4 linked regions of the Saccharomyces cerevisiae S288C genome follow. The protein of the gene in region 1 interacts with the protein of each later gene in a biochemical or structural test. Each region holds a gene or a part of one and is shown on either strand. Other genes may lie near its edges.

Region 1 (3,837 bases):
ATGGTAGGCAAGATCCTAAAAAACCCTTTTTCACACCATGGAAGCCAAGACCATTTTTATCGCCTTTCGCCATTTTACCTCATCATTTGGAAATATCTTTCAAGACATGCCACGCTGTATACCTAAGGGATCCCGTCGCTCGACCAGGCCAATCCGAAGTAATTTCACCATTTGATGTTCCTGTTCATGAACGTGCATATATGTATTACTTGAGAAATGGTAAATGATCGTCGTGTATTGTTGCACGCGTCTTTTGACTGATCTTCAGCCTCTCTTTACACTGTAAATATTTAATTTTTTTTGTTTTTAAGTTCTACTCGAACGATCAAGTAGTCACTTAGTCGCTCCTCGTTTTCCTGTTACTTCTTTAAGAAAAGGTTACACATGAAAAAAAGGTTTTACAAAAAGTATATAATTGTTTATTCATTCACTTTTCTTTCTGATTGATTCAAATGTGATTTATTTCTTTTAACTAAATACAATTAATGCTCCTCGCAATATTAACCAGCATGTTCGAAAACAGCAGATTTGAACTTACCATCAGCGAAGCTATGCTTCATCTGTTCAGGGATTGGGAATTCTACGTAATCATCGTCCTCGCCGATTGGTAAGTTGACGTTAATAGCAGTTGAGCACGAGGTGTAGATTTCAGTATTCAAGGATTCCTTGGATAAATAGATGTTACCGCCGTCAGATTTATCAATGGAGATTTGAGGTAGGGAATGGTTAACTTGAATGCCAAACTTGTTGGATTTGATGACATCCATACCGGAAATGCTAGAATCAAGAACAACACTGCATGACTCAGTTTCACTCAACGAGATAGCGTTAACTTTTCCTTTTATTTGAACAAGAACTTGAGAACATTTACCTATGAAGATAGACTCATCTTTATTTGCATCAATAACCAGAGATTCAGTTTCATTTTCGTAATTCTCAATAAACCATTTGTTTCCTACCAATTCCTTTCTAGGAGGCCTCTTAGTTTTCAATGTTGATGGCTTTTTTGGCCTTGGTGGTGGACCGGATTTACTTCCTGTGGAAGAAACTGTAGAGGATTGACGTAATTCAGGATTTTTGTGAGTTTGTTGGGATTTGTCTACTTTTTTCAAACCCTTAGTGATATTTTCACCCTGATTTAGTTCGGCGAAGACCGCGCCAATACCGCCTTTGTTAGCATCACTACTCGTTGCTGGTGTATCATTAGAGATTTCAAAGACGGAAGCTGGTGGGGCTGGTGGAGGAGGTGGTGGTGCTGGAGCCGCTGTAGCACTTGCTGGCGAAGGAGATGAAGTAGCACCTGTATTCTTCGTTGATTGTGCCATCGCGTCAGCAAAATCCATACCGTCTTTTTTCCAGGAAACCCCAGTAGTATGATACTCTTTAATGTAGGCTTTCAAATTATCGAAAGAGGCCAAAAATTTCTTAACCCATTCAACAGCATTAGGATCAGACTCTCTGTATTCTTTCAAAATTCTATTAGTCCAAAACTGTGCTGCGTCCTTGAAATCTGTGACCATAGACACGGGAGTGTCCACTGCAACCCAGGAGAACAAAGGAGCACCCTCAGATAAAGCGCTCAAATATGCGAAGTATTTGCTTTGACGGTTTGATTCCTTCAATTGACCCAGCTTTATAATATTTTCGTTGATAGGTCTTAAAGAATCAGCGAAAGTTTGAGAAGAATAATCCGGTTTTCTTGATCTCACAGCAGCTCTTAAAAAAGTCAATTGCGATTGAAAGCCTCCCTTTAGCAACTGCAAAGCATCTAAGACCACCGTGTCGATCTTTCCTGATAATTCTACCAGCGGATCAATATTCTCACCGATGTAAGATTGGAACGCAGTTATGCATTTCGGATCTTGTTCTACTTCAGGAGCATTTTCTGCAGAAGGTTCATTCGTAGTATTCGCATCGGCCCCGGAGTCGGAAGGCTTGTTATTTTTAGATGCCTCCAATTTATTCTGAATATAACCTTCTTGATAGATGGTGACATCCTCTAATCTTGCAGTGGCTTCTTCTAGCCTTTTTAATAGCTTAACAAGGTTATAACCTTGCATTGTGTACTTAGAGTCAGGCATGATTCGATTTCACACGGTTGCAACTTGGCCTACTCAATTACGAAAAGTTTCAAGCTGAGTTTTCCCCTATACTACCAAAAGATTTCACTTCTAAATCCCTGTTTATGACTTCACGCGACATGTATAGATCATTTTAAACGATATGAATTGTATACTGTCCCAACATTTTATATCTTTATATAAACATCAAGGTTAATAATGTTCGACAGTTACTAGAATCAATGCCTAAAAGGTTACTGACTGAGTGTGATCTCTACCATAAATCTTGAGAACGACATACGAGGCGTAATTTTATGTAAAAATTATTTATGGATGTGGCTTCAACGTCCTACCTCTCTTCTCGTAAGTAGGCTTTATAGCCAGGGGACATGGATTTCAGGAGGTGAATACGAGTGTCACGTATACTAAGGTCTCCTCGGCTCAATGAAACGTACTCCAAAGATGCGGAGTGGCCTTGTAATGTATTTAGTGTATCGTTTCTCACATTTCTCTGCCACTGTTCTCGTGTAGTGCTCTCATCTCCCAGTCCGATGTACTTTTGTTTGTATATCTTCTGCAACTTCAACTGCCTCTGCTTTTCCGCCTGTTTTGAGTATTAGCATTACGTATAAGCCGCACGGACTTGCACGATTCATCGCAAGCGTAGTTAGTACCATGGTAAAGATGATTTCAATTCAAACTAAAGCGCAATAGAACGTAACATACCATTTCTTTTCTTAATTTCACTGTTTCGAATTGTGTAATATAACCATTTTAGCCACTATTTACATGTTCTGAATGAGAAGGCTTATGTTCTTCTCTTCTTCCCGGGTGACAACGCTAACTTCGGCGTAAGATTTTCCGCTATTTCTTCAATAGCGACATAACGTATGAGAGTTTATGCCCAGGGAACACGTTGATTTAGAAGCAAACACTGTTGCATAAATTATAGGGCTGTGATTTTATCGTCTTTATCTAAAGCATAATAGGGTGAAACGGTTTCAGTTGATACATATTCGCACCAGTATACATTTTCAGGACTTTATGGCAGAACAGACGCTACTTTCCAAATTGAACGCTCTTTCTCAAAAAGTGATACCACCAGCTTCCCCTAGTCAGGCAAGCATTTTAACGGAAGAGGTGATACGAAACTGGCCTGAACGATCAAAAACTCTCTGCTCCGATTTCACTGCACTGGAGTCAAATGATGAAAAGGAAGACTGGTTGAGGACTTTGTTTATTGAACTGTTTGATTTCATAAATAAAAACGATGAAAATTCTCCCCTCAAGCTTTCTGATGTTGCATCATTTACTAATGAATTAGTGAATCATGAAAGGCAAGTGTCCCAGGCTTCCATAGTTGGTAAAATGTTTATCGCCGTCTCAAGCACTGTTCCAAATATAAATGATCTAACAACCATATCATTATGTAAACTAATACCGTCGTTGCATGAAGAATTGTTCAAATTTAGTTGGATATCCTCTAAGCTGCTCAACAAGGAACAAACCACCTTATTAAGGCATTTGTTAAAAAAGTCAAAATACGAACTGAAGAAATATAACCTTTTGGTAGAAAATTCAGTGGGTTATGGTCAATTGGTAGCCTTATTAATATTGGCGTATTATGATCCCGACAATTTTTCCAAAGTGTCCGCATATTTGAAAGAAATCTATCATATTATGGGGAAATATTCCTTGGATTCTATTCGTACTTTAGATGTTATTTTGAACGTTTCTAGTCAGTTTATCACTGAAGGGTACAAGTTCTTTATTGCTC
Region 2 (3,369 bases), on another chromosome or scaffold:
ATCGTAGCCAATTTAGATTCCTGCATAAATTTGTACTTAGAAAGCCGTTCTTGGAACTTATTGAAGCACAATTCGAAGTCGCTTGGGTCCTTAATTATTTCGTTGACATTTTCGATGAATGGAGCCTGCGGTATGCCTCTGGCATTCTTTTCCGTGGAGTTGAACAGTGTGTCCATAATAACCGTAGTATCTGTTATATATGTGCGTACAGTTTTCTGCAGTAAATGTTGTCTACAATTTATAGCCTCTACAATAGTGTTAAACTAGATTTTTTCACTTTCTTTTCTGACCAGTTCTGCAAAATGATCGAAGAAACGAAACAAATCATGTGTTACCCGTCCTGCACAATCATGAGTGCCTGCGGTTTCCATATTGGAACGGCACCTTCCTTTTTTGGAAGTCACGTTCCTGCAGCGCGTTTCTTTTTTTTTTTTTTTTTTTTTTTTATTTTTCGGTTTTTTTCGCACGTTTCTTTTTGGTGAGCGAGAAAGCTCGTTGCCTCCTAATATAAAGGATGAGATGAGATGAGCAGTGCCGCAAATGAGGGATGTGTTTATTTGTTCATTGTCGTTTTGCGATTATCTTCGTTTTCATGTGTTAACTCATTCATTCATTCATTTACTCGTTCACGCACACGCAGCAGTTATTCCCTCGACGAGCGTTCACTTGTATCATATAGCATAGTTTACGTAGCAATGAATAAAAGCAGCAAGGCATTTCAGGTACCGAATAAGGTCATCACCAAGGAGGATATTACTCCCTTGTCCAGATCGCACACAAAGAAAGCGGACACTCGCGGGACAGCAGATGGTAAAAACACCACAGCCAGTGCAGTCGAGGCCACCCCAATCATCATCACCACTGCTCGTTCGATAGATACTGCCGGTTCACTATCTGAGAACGCCACCGAGGACGATGGCACCCAAAACGGAGATTTACACGATGATGACGATGATGACGACCTCGAAAGTACGCTCGGCTATAGTTCTGAGCCTGATCCTCTCTTCTCCCCATGCCACCAGCCTTCCTTCACCAACAGCACATTTAGTTACAGTGCGGACAATGAACTACCCATGGAGGAAAATCACAACAAGAATAATTTCCACGATAGCAGCGAGAGCAGTATCTTTCTACCACAGATACAGCAATCATTCTTTTTCGGCGACAATAGCAAGAGTGACGCAAATAATACGGACTTCTGGAAGGAAGTAAATGGCACTGCAGAAGAGGCCATTTGCCTGCAGGAGACAAGACAAAGAAAATGCTCCCTCGTGGCTCTGCATCCAGGCGACGCCACCACGAGTTCGAACGACACATTGGGAATAGAGGACTTCATCAAAGATGATATCAACAGTGCTGAAGCCATGGAACCCTCCCCATCTTCATCACCATCTTCCTCCCTTCTTGATAATTTGGACTACAATATCAAGTTATTGTGCTACAGAGACAATGAGGGCAAGTTCACCTTGAAAAAAAGGAAGTTTTTGAAGAATTCCCTGCGCTCATCCTCTGCAATTTCTAAAAAGTGGAAACCCTTGTCTAAAAGAGATAAGCTGTTGAAGAGGGCCATAAGAAGAAAGAGTGGTGTTTGCCAGACGTTATCAGCTGGTTTTGGTATCGGTGAATTCATGTTGTAATAACAGTACTATTAACAGTACAATAAATAGATTCTTTTTATACAGTGTTAGGGTAACTTGTTTTTGTAGGATTTGAAAAATATGTCATTATAAGATCTATATCTTTTACTATTTGGACAAGTTGGCTAATTTGATAGGCAATTGAATAAGAAGGAACTCTGTATCTCAACACATCACATGTCTACTCAATCCGGTATAGTCGCAGAACAAGCCTTGCTGCATTCTCTGAATGAAAATCTTTCAGCAGATGGCATCGTCATCATTATAGCCAAAATTTCCCCTGATTCTACCTCGGTACATCAAACGCAAGTCGCACGTAGCTTCGAGGAGCTGGTACAGTTGGCATCACAAGAAAGAGAACCGTTGTACATCTTCTATAAGCCGGAAGGGCTTGATAAGTACTTCTTTGTGTCATTCATCCCCGATGGTTCTCCGGTAAGATCAAGAATGCTTTATGCCTCGACGAAGAACACTCTGGCAAGACAGGTAGGTTCAAACTCTTTATCCACCGAACAGCCATTGATCACAGATGCACAGGACTTGGTGGATTTGAAAAATTTTGATAGTGCCCGTCCTGCTGGCCAGAATAAGCCCTTGACACATGATGAAGAAATGCAAATCGAAATCAATAAGCAACAGGCACTTTTAAGGAAAAACACATCCGTCAAGTTGGTTTCTCAGGACAGTGCTTCGCCTTTATCGTTAACTTTCAGGGTCAATTCTGAGAAACCTATCAATGAAATACTGGATAGCGAGGGTAAAAATTTAATCATATTTCAAATCGATCCCTCGAACGAAACCATCCAGATCGTGCAATCTGATACATGTCCCTCCGTAGATGAACTGTACATTGACTTGCCCGGGCCAAGTTACACGATTTTCAGGCAGGGTGATTCAAGTTTCTTTATCTACTCTTGTCCCTCTGGCAGCAAAGTCAAAGATAGAATGATATATGCTTCTAACAAGAATGGATTTATCAACTACTTGAAAAATGATCAAAAAATCGCATTTAGTAAAGTGGTAGAAATTGGCGATTTTGTGGAACTAGACAAGTCCTTACTTATGGCAACAAATAAAGAAGATAGCCTCGATCATGGATCCAATCCAGATCTCCCAAACAAAAGCAATTTGAAATTCAACAAACCAAAGGGCCCATTGAGGAAAAGAAGAACATAGAGATAGAAATGGCATCTATATATGTGTGACCAACAATACATACGTTTTTATTCTTCTAAATATGAAACTGAATGTTTTTCTAGGTTTGCTGGAATATATATTACACTGGCAAAAATTGTTATGCTATGCTATTTAATGTTCATTGTTTTTGCAGCTTGATAACCTCTCTTAAGGCGCCAAATGGATTTTTTTGGAAATCTTGATTGGTTAGGACCTGATTGAATCTTGCAGTTTCGTTAGCAGCCAATGCCTTTGCACCCTTTTGGTTCCTGATATTTGGCTGATTCTTTTTTATCCTAACAGAACCAGGTTCTATCTTTTTCAAGTTCATTTCCTTTGTGTCCACAAACCTTATTTTAGAATCCATGTCGATGTCATCATCGTTATTCATGTCTTTGCTACTATTTTCAATAATGCCCCGTAAATCCTTTTCTTGCTCCAAAGAAGTGAGCAGATCTTGCATTCTTGGTTTTAGTTCTTCTCTTAGCTTTCTTTTCCTACGTCTAATGGAAGATTTAGAAATACCATCAAAATTGGCAGCTATGCCATCGTTAAG
Region 3 (8,010 bases), on another chromosome or scaffold:
GCTCCAGTGAAAGTACATATCTTCTTTCTTGGACATTATTATCTCTAGTAATAGTGATATAAGGATCGGCATTCAACAGGTGATCTGGTATTTGCGGCAATCCAGATTCTGGTCCTGCGTTTTTTTTCAGTTCCATAAACCTTTCAACGCCAATCGGCAGCAAATCAGCCGGTAAATGACGTTGTAGATCGCACATATCGAATGAATTGATGTAAAAATTGACTATATCAAAATAAGCTTCATTTACGGATTTCTCGTCTGTTTCAAATAAAGAATACCTTTTACTTGACCAATTCTTATTATCTAGTAATTCATATGCTATTTTCAAAATGGCCAATGCAATGGAATGTTGGGGTATGACTAAAATAGTTTCTAGCTTCAAAGCATCATAAGCAATTACCCAAGCCAGATTGCACAACTTATAATCAAAGGATAGCTCCCTACCAATTTTTATAACATATTCATCAATATGAACGTAATTGTTGACTCTATAATCGAATGAGCATGACTCTAATATCCGAAGTTCTATTTGAAATACCCTTTTTTTAAAATTTTCCAAAATGTCCGTATTGATTTTAACCACATTCCTCAATCGTAATGACAAAGTACATATATCATTTGTTTTTTTAATTGTCTCAACTTCTTTACAGCCCAAAGTCAGGCAGCTTGTCGCTACAGTGTAGCAAACCTCGGTCTCGAAGCGATTAAAGAGGTGGTATCTTTGGTAAAAGTATACTGCTGTTTCTAAAGTCTTCCGTGGAAATTTCAGCTGAACACACAAGTCACTTAGAAATTTGAACACGGCAAGTTTTTTCTGGTTGTAATTTCGATAGTCCGATATTGTATTCTTTTGGGCTCTTTGAATTTGCCTTTTAGACAGAAACGGTCTCGAAAAAAAAAGCTGGGATTCAAACGTGCTAGGCATATCAAAGTACGTAATTTTCTTAGTTTTGCTGGCTCTATATCTCCTCTCGCTCTATAGATACAGATATATATATATATATATATATATCTATGTGTATAAAGACGGCTTTCAGGACAGTACTTGTTTGGATTTTTGATCATCGCGGATTTTCGCAATGCAAGTATAAAGAGAGCATTACCCGCCACACAGTGATTCTTCAGCAAGTTGTACCGAAAAGGACCATTTAGGTACGTGGGATCGCAAAGGTTCCCAAACGGTGTGCATCAAGCCGTAGACTTCATGAGTGCTTTCGGTGCAGCAAAAAGATAAGGACAAAAAATACTGAAGGATGCGAGGTTCGAACTCGCGCGGACAACCGTCCAACAGATCTTAAGTCTGCCGCCTTAGACCACTCGGCCAACCCTCCATCTTATTTAAAAATCCTAGGAAATAGATGTTATATAAGTCATACATCATTGAAAACATCAAATACCGTTCCCTGCGTTGTTCTACAGAAAAGCGCATTAGAGTAGGTCATACCCTTTAAAAAATGATTTTGTAAATGCCAGAAAGTAAACAAATATGCATTTCGCCTAGCTCCCAATGTAAATAGCCATAAAAAAGGATAAAATGCCAGATTTAGAGTCAGTTCTCGTTCTTCTTCTTCTCTGTGTTCAATTGTTCAATTGCATTGTTAATCACTGAAATTCTATGTTTCAAATTGGAATGGCAGACTGAACTGAGACCTTCCTTACTTTCTCCTCTATCAAACCTAAATATTCAATCATAACCTTATTTTTTCACTTCCTTTTTCTTACTTTTTTTTTTTTTTTTTTTTTGTATTTTGGAAGGAAAGCAGGGGGGACTTACCATAAGAAAAGCGACTCTAAAAAAGTGTATTTTCTTCCAAAGTTCAGTAAAGACAGCTGGGAAGTATAGTAACAGAGGAGAGAAAGCATAAGGAGACCTCTTGCTGCAGTTCACAACCAAAAATAGCATATCTTTACTATTGTCGCTAACCATTGCGAAACGAGCTAAAGCAACAGCAAACGAAATCCCTAGGTCGAAATGTCATCAAAACCTGATACTGGTTCGGAAATTTCTGGCCCTCAGCGACAGGAAGAACAAGAACAACAGATAGAGCAGAGCTCACCTACGGAAGCAAACGATAGAAGCATTCATGATGAGGTACCAAAAGTCAAGAAGCGTCACGAACAAAATAGTGGTCACAAATCAAGAAGGAATAGCGCATATAGTTATTACAGCCCACGGTCGCTTTCTATGACCAAAAGCAGGGAGAGTATCACTCCAAATGGTATGGATGATGTAAGTATTTCGAACGTGGAACATCCAAGGCCGACAGAACCGAAAATCAAAAGGGGTCCATATTTACTGAAGAAAACATTGAGCAGTCTTTCAATGACGAGCGCGAATAGTACTCATGATGATAATAAAGACCACGGTTACGCTTTGAATTCATCCAAGACGCACAACTACACATCTACTCATAACCATCATGACGGTCATCATGATCATCATCATGTTCAGTTTTTTCCCAATAGGAAGCCATCATTAGCGGAAACCCTATTCAAAAGGTTTTCAGGGTCAAACAGTCACGATGGCAATAAGTCAGGAAAGGAAAGTAAAGTTGCTAACCTTTCCCTTTCAACGGTAAATCCTGCACCTGCTAATAGGAAACCTTCTAAAGACTCCACTTTATCTAATCACTTGGCTGATAACGTGCCAAGCACTTTACGAAGGAAAGTGTCCTCATTGGTACGTGGTTCTTCCGTCCATGATATAAATAATGGTATTGCAGATAAACAGATTAGACCAAAGGCTGTTGCGCAATCAGAAAATACATTACATTCATCCGATGTTCCCAATAGCAAACGCTCGCACAGAAAAAGCTTTCTGCTAGGCTCCACATCTTCTTCAAGCAGTAGAAGAGGTTCAAATGTCAGTTCAATGACTAACAGTGACAGTGCAAGTATGGCGACGTCGGGTAGTCATGTTCTCCAACATAACGTATCTAATGTTTCTCCAACTACTAAAAGTAAGGACAGCGTTAACAGCGAATCCGCCGATCACACTAATAATAAATCCGAGAAAGTGACTCCAGAATATAATGAGAACATTCCGGAAAATTCTAACTCTGACAACAAACGCGAAGCCACAACGCCTACTATAGAAACACCCATTTCATGTAAACCATCCCTTTTCAGGCTAGATACAAACCTTGAGGATGTTACTGATATTACAAAGACGGTGCCACCCACCGCTGTCAATTCTACACTAAATTCTACACACGGGACTGAGACTGCCTCACCCAAAACGGTGATCATGCCTGAAGGTCCTAGGAAGTCGGTGTCAATGGCTGATCTCTCCGTCGCTGCCGCAGCACCTAATGGTGAATTCACATCAACTTCCAATGATAGATCACAATGGGTAGCACCTCAAAGCTGGGATGTGGAAACCAAAAGGAAAAAAACAAAACCTAAAGGGAGATCGAAATCAAGAAGGTCAAGTATAGATGCTGATGAACTTGATCCCATGTCACCGGGGCCACCTTCAAAAAAAGACTCTCGTCATCATCACGATCGAAAGGATAACGAATCAATGGTCACTGCGGGTGACAGTAACTCAAGTTTTGTTGATATATGTAAAGAAAACGTTCCGAATGATAGCAAGACCGCACTCGATACTAAATCTGTGAACCGCTTAAAAAGTAATTTGGCTATGAGTCCCCCAAGTATACGATATGCTCCATCAAATTTAGATGGGGACTACGACACGTCTTCCACTTCCTCATCTTTACCGTCCTCATCTATTAGTTCAGAAGATACATCTTCCTGCAGCGATTCCTCTTCGTACACTAACGCGTATATGGAGGCCAACCGAGAGCAGGATAATAAAACACCGATCCTGAATAAAACGAAATCGTATACCAAGAAATTTACATCCTCTTCGGTAAATATGAATTCACCAGATGGTGCCCAGAGTTCTGGATTATTACTACAAGATGAGAAGGACGATGAGGTCGAGTGCCAACTGGAACATTACTATAAAGATTTCAGTGATTTAGATCCAAAGAGGCACTATGCTATTCGTATATTCAATACTGATGACACTTTTACGACTCTCTCATGTACTCCAGCGACTACCGTCGAAGAGATAATACCTGCACTTAAAAGAAAATTTAACATTACAGCGCAAGGGAATTTTCAAATTTCCCTGAAGGTGGGAAAGTTGTCAAAAATTTTGAGACCAACTTCGAAACCTATTTTAATTGAAAGAAAACTTTTACTTTTGAATGGTTATCGAAAGTCAGACCCACTTCATATTATGGGTATAGAGGATTTAAGTTTTGTTTTTAAGTTTCTTTTCCATCCTGTCACACCTTCTCACTTTACTCCTGAACAAGAACAAAGAATAATGAGAAGCGAATTTGTTCACGTAGATTTAAGGAATATGGATCTGACTACACCTCCCATCATTTTTTACCAGCATACGTCAGAAATAGAAAGTTTAGACGTTTCTAATAACGCAAATATATTCCTACCTCTGGAGTTCATTGAAAGCTCGATTAAATTATTAAGTTTGAGAATGGTTAATATTAGAGCATCTAAATTTCCTTCCAATATCACTAAGGCGTATAAACTAGTATCTTTGGAATTACAGAGAAACTTCATAAGAAAAGTACCGAACTCAATCATGAAACTGAGTAATTTAACGATATTAAACCTTCAATGTAATGAGCTTGAAAGCCTACCGGCTGGATTTGTTGAACTGAAAAATCTGCAATTGCTAGACTTGTCTTCAAACAAGTTCATGCACTACCCAGAAGTTATTAACTACTGCACCAATCTTTTACAAATAGACCTATCATATAATAAAATCCAAAGCTTACCACAGTCCACTAAGTACCTAGTAAAGCTTGCGAAGATGAACCTTTCTCATAACAAACTAAATTTTATAGGCGACTTATCGGAAATGACAGATTTGAGGACGCTGAACCTAAGATATAACAGAATATCATCAATTAAGACAAATGCGTCTAACTTGCAGAACCTTTTTTTAACAGATAATAGAATTTCGAACTTTGAAGACACTTTGCCGAAACTAAGAGCCCTTGAAATTCAAGAGAATCCAATCACTTCTATATCCTTCAAAGATTTTTATCCAAAAAACATGACAAGTTTGACGTTGAACAAGGCACAGTTATCGAGTATTCCTGGAGAATTACTCACCAAACTATCTTTCCTCGAGAAACTTGAACTTAATCAGAATAATTTGACTAGACTGCCACAGGAGATATCCAAGTTGACTAAATTAGTTTTCCTTTCAGTGGCGAGAAACAAACTAGAGTATATTCCACCCGAGCTATCTCAACTGAAAAGTTTGAGGACATTAGATCTACATTCTAACAACATAAGGGACTTTGTTGACGGTATGGAAAACCTTGAACTAACATCGCTAAATATTTCATCGAATGCATTCGGTAACTCTAGCTTAGAAAATTCTTTTTACCATAACATGTCATATGGGTCAAAGTTATCTAAAAGCCTGATGTTTTTTATTGCTGCAGACAATCAATTTGATGATGCTATGTGGCCTCTTTTCAATTGCTTTGTCAATCTGAAAGTGCTAAATCTTTCTTACAACAATTTTTCAGATGTATCGCACATGAAACTTGAGAGCATTACCGAATTGTACCTCTCCGGTAATAAGCTCACGACATTGTCGGGTGATACAGTTTTGAAATGGAGCTCTTTAAAGACTTTAATGTTGAATAGTAACCAAATGTTATCTCTGCCTGCAGAATTATCAAATCTCTCACAGCTAAGTGTATTTGATGTTGGAGCAAATCAATTAAAGTATAATATATCAAACTATCATTACGATTGGAACTGGAGGAATAATAAAGAACTAAAATATTTGAATTTTTCAGGAAATCGAAGGTTTGAAATAAAGTCATTTATAAGTCACGATATTGATGCTGATTTGTCAGATCTGACAGTATTACCTCAGTTAAAGGTACTAGGTTTAATGGACGTAACTTTAAATACTACCAAAGTACCGGATGAAAATGTCAATTTCCGTTTAAGGACAACTGCATCAATAATAAATGGGATGCGCTACGGTGTTGCTGATACATTAGGTCAAAGAGACTATGTGTCATCTCGTGATGTTACCTTTGAAAGATTCCGCGGAAATGACGACGAATGCTTACTATGTCTTCATGATAGTAAAAACCAAAATGCAGATTATGGCCACAATATATCAAGAATTGTTAGAGATATTTACGATAAAATACTGATCAGACAACTGGAAAGGTATGGAGACGAAACAGATGATAATATAAAAACTGCACTTCGTTTCAGTTTTTTGCAACTGAATAAGGAGATTAACGGAATGCTAAATTCTGTTGATAATGGTGCCGATGTTGCCAATCTTTCATATGCAGACTTGCTAAGTGGCGCTTGCTCTACTGTGATATATATCAGAGGGAAGAAACTCTTCGCTGCAAATTTAGGTGACTGTATGGCTATTTTATCCAAAAACAATGGTGACTACCAAACGCTAACCAAACAACATCTCCCAACAAAGCGGGAAGAATACGAGAGGATCAGAATATCTGGCGGGTATGTCAACAATGGAAAATTAGATGGTGTTGTAGATGTGTCTAGAGCAGTGGGTTTTTTTGATTTGCTTCCCCACATTCATGCTTCTCCCGACATATCTGTCGTGACATTAACAAAAGCAGACGAGATGCTTATTGTAGCAACGCATAAGTTATGGGAATACATGGACGTGGATACAGTTTGTGATATCGCGCGTGAGAATAGTACTGATCCACTCCGTGCCGCAGCTGAGTTGAAGGATCATGCCATGGCTTACGGCTGTACAGAGAATATTACAATTTTGTGCCTTGCTCTTTACGAGAACATTCAGCAACAAAATCGGTTCACTTTAAATAAAAACTCTTTAATGACTAGAAGAAGTACTTTCGAGGATACTACATTAAGAAGACTTCAACCTGAGATTTCTCCGCCAACAGGTAACCTAGCAATGGTCTTCACTGATATCAAAAGCTCAACCTTCTTATGGGAGCTATTCCCTAACGCAATGAGGACCGCAATAAAAACTCACAATGACATTATGCGTCGTCAACTACGAATTTACGGTGGTTACGAAGTAAAGACAGAAGGAGACGCCTTTATGGTGGCATTTCCTACGCCAACTAGTGGTCTGACATGGTGCTTAAGTGTTCAATTAAAACTCTTGGATGCACAATGGCCGGAGGAAATTACCTCAGTTCAAGACGGCTGCCAAGTTACGGATAGAAATGGTAACATTATCTATCAAGGCCTATCAGTTAGAATGGGTATTCATTGGGGCTGCCCAGTTCCAGAGCTTGATTTAGTGACTCAAAGAATGGACTATTTGGGGCCGATGGTCAATAAGGCAGCAAGGGTCCAGGGCGTCGCTGACGGTGGTCAGATTGCAATGAGTAGTGATTTTTACTCTGAATTCAACAAGATAATGAAGTATCATGAGCGAGTAGTGAAGGGCAAGGAATCTCTCAAGGAAGTTTATGGTGAAGAAATTATCGGAGAGGTTCTTGAAAGAGAAATTGCCATGCTGGAAAGTATTGGTTGGGCATTTTTTGACTTTGGCGAGCATAAGCTAAAGGGACTCGAAACCAAAGAACTCGTTACTATTGCGTATCCTAAGATTCTTGCTTCCAGACACGAATTTGCATCTGAAGATGAGCAGTCAAAATTAATCAATGAAACGATGTTGTTTCGTTTAAGAGTCATTTCAAACAGACTGGAATCTATAATGTCAGCTTTAAGCGGCGGATTTATTGAACTAGACTCTCGGACGGAGGGAAGTTATATTAAATTTAACCCTAAAGTTGAAAATGGTATTATGCAATCGATTTCTGAGAAGGATGCGTTGTTATTTTTTGATCATGTAATTACTAGAATCGAATCCAGTGTGGCATTATTACATTTACGACAACAGAGGTGTTCAGGACTGGAAATTTGCAGAAACGATAAAACATCTGCTCGAAGCAATATTTTCAATGTTGTTGACGA
Region 4 (4,256 bases), on another chromosome or scaffold:
GTGAAGAAGGGCGGCCTCATTATGGCTCGCCTTATTCTGTTCACCCTCTGCGCTCTTCCCGTATTATTTCATTTTATTTTGTTTATGCTTCAATATCTTGTATTTGTTTACATTGAAAAATGATTGGAAAAAGGTCACATTGAAATCAAAACAGTGAAGAAGCAGACAGACAAGAAGGTCATTAGATAGATAAACAGGAACAATAAAAAAAAGAAAGCGAAACAAGACAATCCAACGTGCGCAAAATGGATCCATTGACTGTATACAAAAACTCAGTGAAACAACAGATCGATTCCGCAGACTTACTAGTGGCAAATTTGGTAAATGAGAATTTCGTACTGTCGGAGAAGCTGGATACAAAAGCAACCGAGATCAAACAGCTGCAGAAGCAGATAGACTCGCTAAACGCACAAGTCAAGGAGCTGAAGACTCAGACTTCCCAACAGGCAGAAAATTCAGAAGTCATAAAGGACCTTTACGAGTACCTCTGTAACGTACGTGTACATAAAAGCTACGAGGATGATTCTGGGTTGTGGTTCGACATCTCGCAGGGCACCCACTCAGGGGGATCTTCCGATGATTATTCGATAATGGACTATAAACTCGGATTTGTCAAGGGCCAGGCCCAAGTCACAGAAGTCATATATGCGCCCGTTCTTAAACAGCGATCCACCGAGGAACTATACTCGCTACAGTCGAAACTACCGGAATACCTCTTCGAAACGTTGAGTTTCCCCCTCTCGTCGCTAAACCAATTCTATAACAAAATCGCTAAAAGCCTGAATAAGAAAAGAGAGAAAAAAGATGAAACCGAGTAAGCTGCTACATAATGTCTATATATCTACACATAAAATTCCGATTATTCCTTTGCATACCTGATTTGCCCCTCAGAATCCACAACCAGACTTTTCAAGAAGGTCTTTTTTGCCCCTTTATCCTTCATGGTTTTCAAAATTTTGTACAACGACTTGCCCTTGTGAAGCTCGATACCGTTCGAGGTCTTTTCCACTTTCTCTGCCTTCTTGATCACAGGCTTCTCCACTTTCTTTGCAGGAGTTGCCACTGGCTGGTGCTGGTGCTGCTTCTGCTGCTGCTTCTGCTGCTGCTTCTGCTTCTGCTTCTTGTTGCCCTTGTACAACGCTTTCTGGTACTTCTCGTCCTCGCTGATGCAAGACGTGTGATTCTTGTAACTCACGCCATCTTCAAACGTCTTGGAGCAATCTATGCATGTATAGTACGCGTTAGGACATCTATAATAATGCTTTTCGGTATTCTTCTTGGGCACAGTATCATTACACACCTCACAGTTGAACGTAACCATCCTGTAATAACAAATATTTCTTGACTGAGACCGTTTGCTGTTGTATACAGAATACTCTTAGAGCTCATCGCAAGTTAAAAATTTTCAATTTTTTTTCACTTTTTCCCGTCAAGGCAAAAAGCAACCAAAAGAGAATGAACCTTTATTTTTGATTTATTTATTATGAGATGCTGCTAGTCCACTCATCTGCATCAATGTAGTAGTCACAAAGCTAATATTTAGACGTTACTTTGATATCTCTGTCCATGAGAGCACTTATTTTAGGAAGTTAAATGAGACAGTCAATAGTTCACAATATCCCGTCAGCAATGGAGGGAAAAGGCATTCCTTTTCCATAGGATTTTAATCGTTTTCAAGCATCATACGCCCTCGAGGAACTCTTGTTTTCGCTTTACTATGCAACCATTGATGTATTTCTGTATAAATGTGCGTCACGTGGCCTTGTGTCTCTTATTTCCACTTGTTTTTTCACAATGCGGAAAACCTCGATTAAAGTAGAAAAAAAGGATATAATAGGAGTATACCATATTGGATAGTTCAATCTATAAACAAACAATCGCATAACCGCACGTATATACACGCACACACCTATCAATCACAATGGCTTTGGAACCTATTGATTATACTACTCACTCGAGAGAGATCGACGCAGAGTACCTGAAGATTGTCAGAGGCTCCGATCCTGACACCACCTGGTTGATTATTTCACCCAATGCGAAAAAAGAATACGAACCTGAGTCTACCGGTTCCTCCTTTCACGATTTCTTGCAATTGTTTGATGAAACCAAGGTCCAGTACGGACTGGCACGTGTGTCCCCACCAGGGTCAGACGTTGAGAAGATTATTATCATTGGTTGGTGTCCTGATTCTGCGCCATTGAAGACAAGGGCCTCTTTCGCCGCCAATTTTGCTGCAGTTGCTAATAATCTGTTCAAGGGTTACCACGTTCAAGTTACCGCCAGAGACGAGGACGATCTTGACGAAAATGAACTGTTGATGAAAATCAGTAACGCGGCCGGTGCCCGTTATTCTATTCAGACTTCCTCCAAGCAACAGGGGAAGGCTTCCACTCCTCCCGTGAAGAAATCCTTCACACCTTCCAAGAGCCCTGCTCCAGTTTCTAAGAAGGAACCAGTCAAGACTCCTTCCCCAGCACCTGCTGCTAAGATTTCTTCCCGTGTTAACGACAACAATGACGACGACGATTGGAATGAGCCTGAATTAAAGGAACGCGACTTCGATCAGGCTCCCCTGAAACCAAATCAATCATCTTACAAACCAATTGGCAAAATCGACTTGCAAAAAGTGATTGCTGAAGAAAAGGCTAAGGAGGACCCACGTCTTGTTCAAAAGCCAACCGCTGCTGGTTCCAAGATTGATCCTAGTTCTGATATCGCTAATTTAAAGAACGAATCAAAATTAAAGAGGGACTCCGAGTTTAACTCCTTTTTGGGCACCACTAAACCCCCCTCCATGACGGAATCTTCATTAAAGAATGATGATGATAAAGTCATTAAGGGTTTTAGAAACGAGAAATCACCTGCTCAATTATGGGCCGAAAGAAAGGCAAAGCAAAACAGCGGCAACGCCGAAACTAAGGCTGAGGCACCAAAACCTGAAGTTCCAGAAGATGAGCCTGAAGGTGAACCTGACGTCAAAGATTTGAAATCAAAATTTGAAGGATTGGCCGCTTCAGAAAAAGAGGAGGAAGAAATGGAAAACAAATTTGCTCCTCCTCCAAAGAAATCAGAACCAACTATTATCTCACCAAAACCCTTCTCCAAGCCACAAGAACCTGTGAAAGCTGAAGAAGCCGAGCAGCCTAAGACTGATTACAAGAAGATCGGCAACCCATTACCCGGTATGCACATTGAAGCGGATAATGAGGAAGAACCAGAAGAGAATGATGATGACTGGGATGATGATGAAGACGAGGCTGCTCAACCTCCTTTGCCTTCGAGGAATGTTGCGTCAGGAGCACCAGTGCAAAAAGAAGAGCCTGAACAAGAAGAGATCGCCCCAAGCTTACCTTCTAGAAACTCGATCCCAGCTCCAAAACAAGAAGAAGCACCTGAACAAGCACCTGAAGAAGAAATTGAAGAAGAAGCTGAGGAAGCCGCTCCACAGCTGCCATCAAGAAGCTCTGCAGCTCCTCCTCCGCCTCCAAGACGAGCAACTCCAGAGAAAAAGCCAAAGGAAAATCCTTGGGCCACAGCAGAATATGATTACGATGCTGCAGAAGATAACGAACTGACCTTTGTGGAAAATGACAAGATTATCAATATTGAATTTGTCGACGATGACTGGTGGCTAGGGGAACTAGAGAAAGACGGCTCAAAAGGTCTCTTCCCCAGCAATTATGTGTCTTTGGGCAACTAGAATCACACGTCAGCGTCATGCTATTATATTATTCTTACGTAAAAAAATACTTACAGAGACGTTAAAGCTTTTGTATAGATACTTTCACGAGCCTTCCCTTTCAGTAAAATGAACAAATTATTTTGCCTTGTCCTTCTTTGTTTCAAGCGTTTATATGACTCCTCTACAGTATTATTTTTCAACAGACGGTGTGCCCGTACGGCGTTGTCAAAACCTCGAACATAAAACAACACTGAAACAAACTTATTGCACTCCTGCATCGCATACAGATCTGATACTTACTACAACCATAATGCTGTTTTAGAATCGCATCAGGTGTTTACCAGAAGTGTATGGTACATGGTGCTTTCCTTATGCTCACTATTTCGGATTTACTTCTAGTCTATGTATAGATTTGTTAGAGACCAGTTTTAAGCTACAATGGAACGTTAAGATTAAGAAATGCATGAAGAGTCTCCCAGTAGATATATAAAGCTGAATTAAATTCAGTACAATGGAAGTTTCCACGTCTTTCTGTATTTTCATACCTTTAATTATAGGAAAAGCACACTACAAA

The links.
Region 2: the proteins of SRV2 (region 1) and TWF1 form a complex in vitro, tested with the Saccharomyces cerevisiae proteins (one study listed by BioGRID).
Region 3: the proteins of SRV2 (region 1) and CYR1 form a complex in vitro, tested with the Saccharomyces cerevisiae proteins (one study listed by BioGRID).
Region 4: the proteins of SRV2 (region 1) and ABP1 form a complex in vitro, tested with the Saccharomyces cerevisiae proteins (4 studies listed by BioGRID, with this or other methods).

Annotation. Positions count from the first base shown.
Region 1 is NC_001146.8:364,985-368,821, reverse strand, and holds SRV2 (adenylate cyclase-binding protein), read right to left. Parts: upstream 2,082-3,837; coding exon 501-2,081; downstream 1-500. Other genes in the region: mitochondrial 37S ribosomal protein uS4m NAM9, read left to right, coding at 1-227; U2 snRNP complex subunit YSF3, read right to left, coding at 2,410-2,664, 2,787-2,789; THO2 (Tho2p), read left to right, coding at 3,105-3,837. UniProt on the Saccharomyces cerevisiae protein: The N-terminal domain binds to adenylyl cyclase, thereby enabling adenylyl cyclase to be activated by upstream regulatory signals, such as Ras. The C-terminal domain is required for normal cellular morphology and growth control.
Region 2 is NC_001139.9:640,196-643,564, forward strand, and holds TWF1 (twinfilin TWF1), read left to right. Parts: upstream 1-1,814; coding exon 1,815-2,813; downstream 2,814-3,369. Other genes in the region: tubulin-binding prefolding complex subunit PAC10, read right to left, coding at 1-176; YGR079W (uncharacterized protein), read left to right, coding at 525-1,637; SLX9 (Slx9p), read right to left, coding at 2,953-3,369. UniProt on the Saccharomyces cerevisiae protein: Actin-binding protein involved in motile and morphological processes. Inhibits actin polymerization, likely by sequestering G-actin.
Region 3 is NC_001142.9:423,185-431,194, forward strand, and holds the start of CYR1 (adenylate cyclase), read left to right. Parts: upstream 1-1,972; coding exon 1,973-8,010. Other genes in the region: CTK2 (Ctk2p), read right to left, coding at 1-925.
Region 4 is NC_001135.5:263,147-267,402, forward strand, and holds ABP1 (Abp1p), read left to right. Parts: upstream 1-1,921; coding exon 1,922-3,700; downstream 3,701-4,256. Other genes in the region: YCR085W (uncharacterized protein), read left to right, coding at 1-123; CSM1 (Csm1p), read left to right, coding at 246-818; YCR087C-A (uncharacterized protein), read right to left, coding at 860-1,321. UniProt on the Saccharomyces cerevisiae protein: Regulates ARP2/3 complex-mediated actin assembly. Recruits ARP2/3 complex to sides of preexisting actin filaments, which may promote nucleation or stabilization of filament branches. Binds to actin filaments, but not actin monomers.